Linked DNA regions of Schizosaccharomyces pombe. The protein of the gene in region 1 binds, or shares a complex with, the protein of each later gene. Each region holds a gene or a part of one and is shown in the gene's direction. Other genes may lie near its edges.

The links.
Region 2: the proteins of sfr1 (region 1) and swi5 are in contact, whole or in part, in a crystal structure (PDB 3VIQ), measured with the Schizosaccharomyces pombe proteins. Residues at the interface, in NP_595668.1 of Schizosaccharomyces pombe: Leu182 (codon at 2,764), Leu183 (codon at 2,767), Arg185 (codon at 2,773), Arg186 (codon at 2,776), Leu189 (codon at 2,785), Glu190 (codon at 2,788), Glu192 (codon at 2,794), Val193 (codon at 2,797), Leu196 (codon at 2,806), Gln197 (codon at 2,809), Gln199 (codon at 2,815), Leu200 (codon at 2,818), Thr202 (codon at 2,824), Ala203 (codon at 2,827), Thr205 (codon at 2,833), Ala206 (codon at 2,836), Arg207 (codon at 2,839), Val209 (codon at 2,845), Glu210 (codon at 2,848), Glu214 (codon at 2,860), Asp215 (codon at 2,863), Leu218 (codon at 2,872), Gln219 (codon at 2,875), Leu221 (codon at 2,881), Ile222 (codon at 2,884), Lys224 (codon at 2,890), Trp225 (codon at 2,893), Lys226 (codon at 2,896), Ala228 (codon at 2,902), Ala229 (codon at 2,905); in NP_595453.1 of Schizosaccharomyces pombe: Met1 (codon at 1,786), Lys3 (codon at 1,792), Leu6 (codon at 1,853), Glu7 (codon at 1,856), Val10 (codon at 1,865), Leu13 (codon at 1,874), Glu14 (codon at 1,877), Gln16 (codon at 1,883), Lys17 (codon at 1,886), Leu20 (codon at 1,895), Glu21 (codon at 1,898), Ser23 (codon at 1,904), Leu24 (codon at 1,907), Ala27 (codon at 1,916), Leu28 (codon at 1,919), Lys30 (codon at 1,925), Leu31 (codon at 1,928), Lys32 (codon at 1,931), Asn33 (codon at 2,099), Ala36 (codon at 2,108), Lys37 (codon at 2,111), Thr39 (codon at 2,117), Val40 (codon at 2,120), Lys42 (codon at 2,126), His43 (codon at 2,129), Leu46 (codon at 2,138), Leu47 (codon at 2,141), Thr49 (codon at 2,147), Tyr50 (codon at 2,150), Glu52 (codon at 2,156).

The regions. Positions count from the first base shown.
Region 1 is NC_003423.3:1,578,468-1,582,391, forward strand, and holds sfr1 (DNA recombination mediator Sfr1), read left to right. Parts: upstream 1-1,988; 5' UTR 1,989-2,220; coding exon 2,221-3,120; 3' UTR 3,121-3,413; downstream 3,414-3,924. Other genes in the region: SPOM_SPBC28F2.05C (xylose and arabinose reductase), read right to left, coding at 1-538; ERMES complex subunit, membrane tether and lipid transfer protein Mdm12, read right to left, coding at 660-1,481; hrd3 (HRD ubiquitin ligase complex subunit), read right to left, coding at 3,636-3,924. UniProt on the Schizosaccharomyces pombe protein: Involved in DNA recombination repair and meiotic chromosome segregation.
Region 2 is NC_003423.3:1,136,271-1,139,802, forward strand, and holds swi5 (protein Swi5), read left to right. Parts: upstream 1-1,636; 5' UTR 1,637-1,785; coding exon 1,786-1,794; exon of another isoform or gene 1,795-1,846; coding exon 1,847-1,932; exon of another isoform or gene 1,933-2,097; coding exon 2,098-2,260; 3' UTR 2,261-2,477; downstream 2,478-3,532. Other genes in the region: NifU-like protein nfu1, read right to left, coding at 537-1,319; MIS12/MIND complex Mis12, read right to left, coding at 2,478-3,257. UniProt on the Schizosaccharomyces pombe protein: Required for normal mating-type switching. Also involved in the rhp51-dependent recombination DNA repair pathway.

The DNA.
Region 1 (3,924 bases):
TAAAACAGTAAGAAAGAAAAGTAGGCCTGTTATTGAATGCAGAAAATTCGACCTGATTAATAGCTGGAAGGGGCAACCCAAGACTGATAATTTCTTCCAAATGATGAATATTATAGTTGGAAACTCCAATTTTGTTTATCCTTCCTTCTTTTTGATGCTGCAATAGTGCTCGCCAAGACTCAATACGGCGTACGGGCCACTTTGGTGAATGTATTAGCACGACGTCTAACTTTGGACGACCTGTTCTGCGAAGAGACTGTTCGACCGCTTTCCAGGTACGTTCAAATCCTTGTAAGGAGTCAGGAATCTTAGTTATTAAGGTGATATCTTCACGTTTAATATTCACATTTTGATGGCAGAAATCTTGAATGGCTTGTTCACATTCTTTTTCATTTCGATATGTAATTGCTGAATCAATTACGCGAATACCAAGCGAGAGTGCCTCAATTACTTGCTGGTAGCAATCCTTAAGTTGATATACACCAAAGCAAAGTTGTTCCTTTTCAAAATTGGTTTGAGAAGGAGAAAATGGTTTCATTAACGTAAGTTGAGGTAGATGAGAGAGCTCAATGTATAGACAAAAATATTTTCTAAATCCCTAAACCTTTAAGTAGGAGATTAAAGGAAATTTTTTATATATTTAGGATAATTGTAAAGAATTATTCAATGGTTATATAGCTAGGCCAGACAAGTTCATCCTCAATAATACGTTTAACTTTTTCCGATACAAATTTCTCGACTTTAGCAACATTTTTTAGCAGCTGTTTATTAGATTCTCCAATAATACTTTCCACTGTTAAATCTCGAATAACACTTGATGCATGCTCTCCAGTTCCGTGCAGCAATGTATCAACGAAGCATAGATGCGTCCGCTTTCCCATTTTAGCCAAAACAGCAATGGCATCGATGGAAATCCTAATAAATGAAAGTTTGAATGGAAGAACTGCAAATTCAGAGTTCGGGTAATTCATCGATAGAACCGCTTCCAGGCTTAGATTTGCGTCTCCGTCATAAGATACGTGTGCAGTAACTTGGAAATCGTTAGAACGATCTCTTTCTTGATGATTATCCATTGGAGTACTTGGGCGACTTTCAGGAATTGGGCTTGTGAGTCCACTTGCAGATAGAATCCCGGGTGAATTAAATGCGGGATTAAAATATGCTAGTCTTGAAAATGGATGTTCAGCAGCGTAAGGTGGAAGATCCGTAAGCACTGGTGAAACATTATTGCGGGAGCATTGATCACCCTCTAGTTCTTGGTTAGCTAATTCGAAAGCTTCATTTTCATAAAATTGGGGATCAGGATCGCCGATTTCTTGAATAGTAATCTGAGGTGAGACTTTGCCGAAATGGAAGTCAACAACCTTTAAATGCTTTATATAAGATGGTAGCGACAAATTCGAAACTTGTCCTTCGAGAAGATGTAAAACTTTTGCTTCTAATTCTGAGTCTAACTTTGACCAATCAAAGTCAATAGACATTGTTCTGCAATTGTAAAAAAAAAATACGAACTCTTGAATCTCTCAATGACGATTGTAGCAAGTTTTCAAAATTTAAGTAATTTCTTCGTCAACTTGGTTAATGAAATAATATTTAAACCGGTTCTCTAAATTTTATACGAAGACGGCATGAATTTGATACTTTAAACAAAATCCTCCAGCAATTTTAATGTCCTTTCCTTCAATGTTCTTTTTTACTCATCGAGAATTGCAAGTGAATTTTTAAGATATCTATTTATCTTAAATATTACCTTCTGTAGGTACCAAAATCTTTTCTCCTAGTATTGTCAGTAGAGTTAGGTGGTATTCCCAGATTACCTTCTAACAAAGCCTACGCGGTTTAAAAAAGGTTAAAAAACAAATTTGTAAATTAATAAACCTTTTAGTTTATTACTATCGTAATTTGTATAAACATTTAATTTTTTGGAACCACCAGTCATGTGCTTCAGTCTTCTTCTACCTAAGTTCTTGTTGCTTGCTGTTATTTTCACCTTCTGCTAGTAAAACGTTTTCAACGTTTATCTGGAATTTGTGGTATTTCTTCATTTCTATAACAATTAATATTCAATTCATTTAATTATTTGAAGTTAGAGTTTAAACATTCAACTATTACACTCAACGCGTTTGTTGACAAAAGTTACGCGCTTCATTGCATCTTTGTTATAATTTAACATTCACTCTTTCATCTTCGAATTAGTACTTTAAAACGATTTAACTGAAAATGTCGCAAACAATTAACTCTGAACTCAATGAAAATGCTACTTCACAGTGTAAAGAAGATTTGAAAGTTTCCCTAAGCGAAAGTGATTTACGTGACTCACAGGGTCAGTTAGGAATAGAAAACCCTCCTAAATGCAATAACAGTGGCAATCACTCAGATAACCTAGGTTTTATCGAGCAGTCAGAAACAGTACATCCAGAGAATGAGAAGGCTTTGACGCCGGACCTGCGAGATACAAAAATACATACTTCTTTACCAATTACTACACCTTTTTCAAAGAAAAGGGCTCGAGAAGCCAAAAATATACTTCTTAAGCCGTTCAAAAGCCCCTTAAGACAAACTGCCAGTCCTCAAGTTGCAGACACTAATCTAAAACCATCGTTAGCTGTAACAAATCTTAACTCTGATGAAACAAACACTTCTTCAGAACCTGTTACTTCTCCCTTAAGAACAACGCCTAATTCAATAAAACGGCAAAAACGACTTTTCAAGTCACCTATCTCTAATTGCCTTAATCCAAAGTCCGACCCTGAAATCACACAGTTGCTTTCTCGTCGTTTAAAACTTGAAAAAGAAGTCAGAAATTTACAAGAGCAGCTCATAACCGCCGAAACTGCACGAAAGGTTGAAGCCAAAAATGAAGATAAAGACTTGCAAACGTTGATACAGAAATGGAAAAATGCTGCTCAGCAAGCCGCTGAAGTACTTTTTAAACCAATGGCTGAACGTATTCGTTTGGCTGGAGGTGTTACTCAGTCCTTTCGTATTGAAGAAGGTGAAAATAAAGGGCAAATTCAGGAAGTACGAACTGAATTTACAATGAGTATGTTTCTAAATCAGTTTGGTGTTCCTGTTCATTTGATGTCTTTTGATGAAGAAAATGGTGATTGGAAATCGTAAAGGACTCCTTACTATTGTTAAAAAAATTTTCGTTCGTACTAGTTAGAAAACCTTTAGTACGAACTTAAATATGTTTAGCTAGCTTACACCAAAATCAAGGGTATACTAATTGAACGTACAGAGGTACCTTAATCGTTTACATACAAATTGCGCCGAGCTGGTATCGAAATTCTTTACATGTAACAATGAATCGTTCCAGGCTGAGTTTATGACTTTAATTTATATAATTATTAGCATTATACAATAACATGTCTCATTAATTTGAAATTTCTTGATTTTGAACCTTCTGGTTCTAAATTTTTTCTGGAGATATTTAACATTCAAACAACAAAAGTCGATTAATTGGCTGACAGACAACAAATATAGATCAACCAATTGAAAGATGAAAAACAAAATTTATTCAAAGCATGATTTAATCACCGACGAACCCTAACATACATATATTTTTTATTCTGCATCCATCGAGCAACAAAATTTTAAATTAGAACGCAAAAAAATCGAAGATACAATTTTTATTAAGCGCGGTTTTGTCTACGGATGATTCGCTCACGTCGTTCTTGAAGTCGATGCTGTTGATGGCGTCTCATTAAAACCAGTCCGACAACTACCACAATAAGCGTGACACACGCAGTCTCCAAAAACCTTCCATCAATGTAATCATAAGTGAAACGAATATCATTATAGGATTCACCCATCTCTTCAGTATTAGGCGAGGGCAAGGACTCAGACGTTTCTTGAGGGTCAGGTTGTTGTGGTGTACGATCTACTTGTAGTGTTGGTGGTTCTGGGGGAAGTTGTGAGTCC
Region 2 (3,532 bases), 440 kb from region 1:
ATTGAAAATATACGAATGCATTACCACCTTTTCTAACTAGTCAATTTTTCGAGTATCGTTTTTTAAGCAAAAGAGAGCCAAAGGCTAACATTAACTCAACTCCGTTCTGTGTATCAATTCTCCTTTTCAAATTTCGAAAATAGTCATCTGCGTACAGGGACATCAACGAAACATTCCAACAGTATTTCAAAATTTTTACTTATTTATTTCATAAATATGTACCCTCGCTATTATTAAAACATTTAAATATCTCTGAATAATACAGGTGTTGATGAAACCTGTAGTTTATATGATACACATCTTCATTATTCGTACATAAAATTTGCAGTCGAAAATGAACCAAGAAAGTAACATTATATGATTAAACAAATCGTCTTATATAGTAGTATGTGTTTTTTATCGAATACAGTGTAAATATTCATTGTTATTTGCTGTTTTTTCTTAAAACTCATAAATAGCGTTTTGTTCGTCAATTATTAATTTCTATCACCAAAGTCTTTTAAATGAACCAAATTCCCTATGTTGAATGGAAAAAGTTACTTGTTATCAGCTTTCTGTTTGTTTCCGTTAATGCGCTGTTCAAATTTTTCAAACTCGGCAATTGCAACCTCCTCTTCTGGATCTAAAACTTGTACAACATTTTCCACTTCCGGAATGTAATGCTTCAGCATTTGCTGAATTCCATTTTTTAGTGTCACAGCTGATGACGAACAGGTTCGACATGCACCTCGAAGTTTAAGAGAAACGGTACCTGTCTTCTCATCAAACCCTCTAAATTCCACATCACCACCGTCTTCTTGGATAGATGGACGAATGCTAGTCTCGATCAGTTCTTTAATCATTGCAACAATTTGACTGTCGCTTTCTAATATTTGAGTATCGCTAGCCCCCTTTAGAGGCTCTTCAGAGAGTACTGGGCTTCCATTACTTAAATGCTCCATAATTACACTAAACACTTCTGGCTTCATTTGAGCCCATTCAGTTCCTGCTCCCTTGGAAACAGTAATAAAGTCCTTTCCAAAAAAAATGCTATCAACTCCATCTATATCAAATAGTTTCTGTGCCAATGGAGAATTCACAGTTCCTTGTCCTCTCATGAATTCACAGCTTCCGATAGTTGGAGGCAAGATATCTAGCCCTGGCAGGAACTTCAAAGCGTTTTCGTTCGGTGTCTCCTCCGATCGGATCCATATGCTGCGAATTGCTTGCAATTGGAAACGTGGAGTGAAAACGTTACCAGCTGAAGATACTGGTAAAAAGGTTTTCTTTTGGAATGCTGTCCTTAAAGATTGAAACGGCACAACTCTAGGAAATAACATGCTTGGAATCAAATCGTGCTTTATCCAATAAGAGACAAAATATTAAGACAAGTTCAGAATTTGAAACTTCTTAAGTATACACTTCAAACAGATGGGAAAATTTAAATGTTTATTAACAATTTTTAAATCAGGAAATGCTAATGTAAGCAATTCTTTAAATACATGCAAGAAGGCAATTTGTACATGGGCATACGAAAACCGATGTGATCCTTATACTTTCTTATACAAATTAGCGAAGTTCATTATATTGAAATAAGCCATTGTTCGTGATTCAACAATTTACTTGTCTTTCATCACTAATCTAAATTCTCTCTTACAAGAACAATAGACATTGTTTTCAATTGAACAAATCGGTAGGCTCCTGCCTTCCTCAACAACTTAATTTCTACTAGGTGTTCAAAAACAGATACCTTCCTAGTAAATTTCACACATCATTGCTTCATTAAGAAAGAACTGTTTAAATCGTATGGAAAAGGTAAGCCAACGGTACCATTGTTCATTCACAAAATACTGATGAATTACTGCAGTCTCAACTTGAGTCACGCGTCCATTTGCTTGAACAGCAGAAGGAGCAATTGGAAAGTAGTTTACAAGACGCTTTAGCTAAGCTAAAGTAAGTGTGGTAAAGTGATGCTAGAAATGGTAGAAAATATGAGTTATGCGCCTTTACGCGCGTTCAGGTTCATTTTGGGAAAAGCAATGTATTGCCGTTCCATCAAATCTATTCAAGTCATCATCAAGCTTGTCTCGTTTTATCTAATGTTGACAAATGATTTAGAAATCGAGATGCTAAGCAAACTGTACAAAAACATATCGATCTACTCCATACCTATAATGAAATACGGGATATTGCTTTGGGAATGATTGGCAAAGTGGCAGAGCATGAAAAATGTACAAGTGTCGAATTGTTTGACAGATTTGGAGTTAATGGGTCAGAATAATTATTATCCATTCAGTTATTTAGGAAAAAAGAGAAGTTAAACAAAACAAATAAAAATGTAACGGAAAAAGTGACAGAGACAATCCAAGTTTTCTTTATTAAGCATTACTTTGCTTTCGCTAGAGATCCAACGCCAATTCTTATATATTTATTATGAAAGTTTACGTAAACGATCACAATTGTTAGAACATCTCAAGACTTTAGCTAGTTGATTAGTATTAAGGCTCGTCAGTATGTCCGACGTCTTTTTCAGATGACAATAGCAACTTATGAATGTTATTTGCAGTTTCAGTATTGGCTGTCGATTCTAGTTTTGACAAGTGATGTGACCAAAAATCCTTTTGCTGGTCGATGGGATTAGATAATCGTTCGTAACCTTTTTCTAAGTAGGTAATTCTTTCATCCACCTCTCGTGAGTGTACAGTGGGAGAGGCTTCAACTACTCTTTTAACGGCATGCTGCAGATTACCAAGTTGATCAAGAAGGAAATCGGTAGTTTCTGGTAAAGTAACTTGCCAATTTTCGGGTACTTTGTTGAGAAAAGAAATTCTTTCCAAATGCTTTTCTATTTCTGTTTTTTTTTCTCTTTTCCTGCTGAGACGCATGCGAAGGTCACGACGTAGTTGCATCTTTACTACGAGTTTTTCTGCAGCCTCTTGAATTGCTTGATCCATGGCGGCGTCTTGCTCTGTTGTGATTGAATAGTCTACATCCTTTCCAAACGTACGCATGTAGCCTTTTAGCTCTGGTGGATAACTAAAAATGTTTCGAAGTGTATACACCTCGAAACCATCATAGTAACGATCCACCACACTTTCAAAGAGAACCTCGAACTTGTGTAGTCCTTCTTCTATTTCCTGTGGCGCTTTTTTAGCAAACCGCGTTTGTGAAAAGGCTTTATCCACACCATTTACACCTTTATATAACAGTTGGTTCGTAATGTTGATCACATCATCAATGAAGGAGAGAGGAGTGAATTCTAGTAACTCCACTAACATTTTTTAATTAATTCCTTTACATTGAAAACACTGATTAGCTTCCAAAGAGGAAACTAGTGAGTTATGATTTTTAAACGGCAAGTTGTTCTGCAATGTACCAACCCCATGTTGCATTTTGTCTGGTGTACTCAGATATGATAATAACGAGGTAAAAGGGATTTCCGTATATCCCATCAAAAAGTATGAATAATACATAGATTTGTTGCTGTTTTTATTGCTGTGAGGAACATATAACTCAGGCGATTAACAGTTTAGTCGGTTTATTTTGTTAGTTG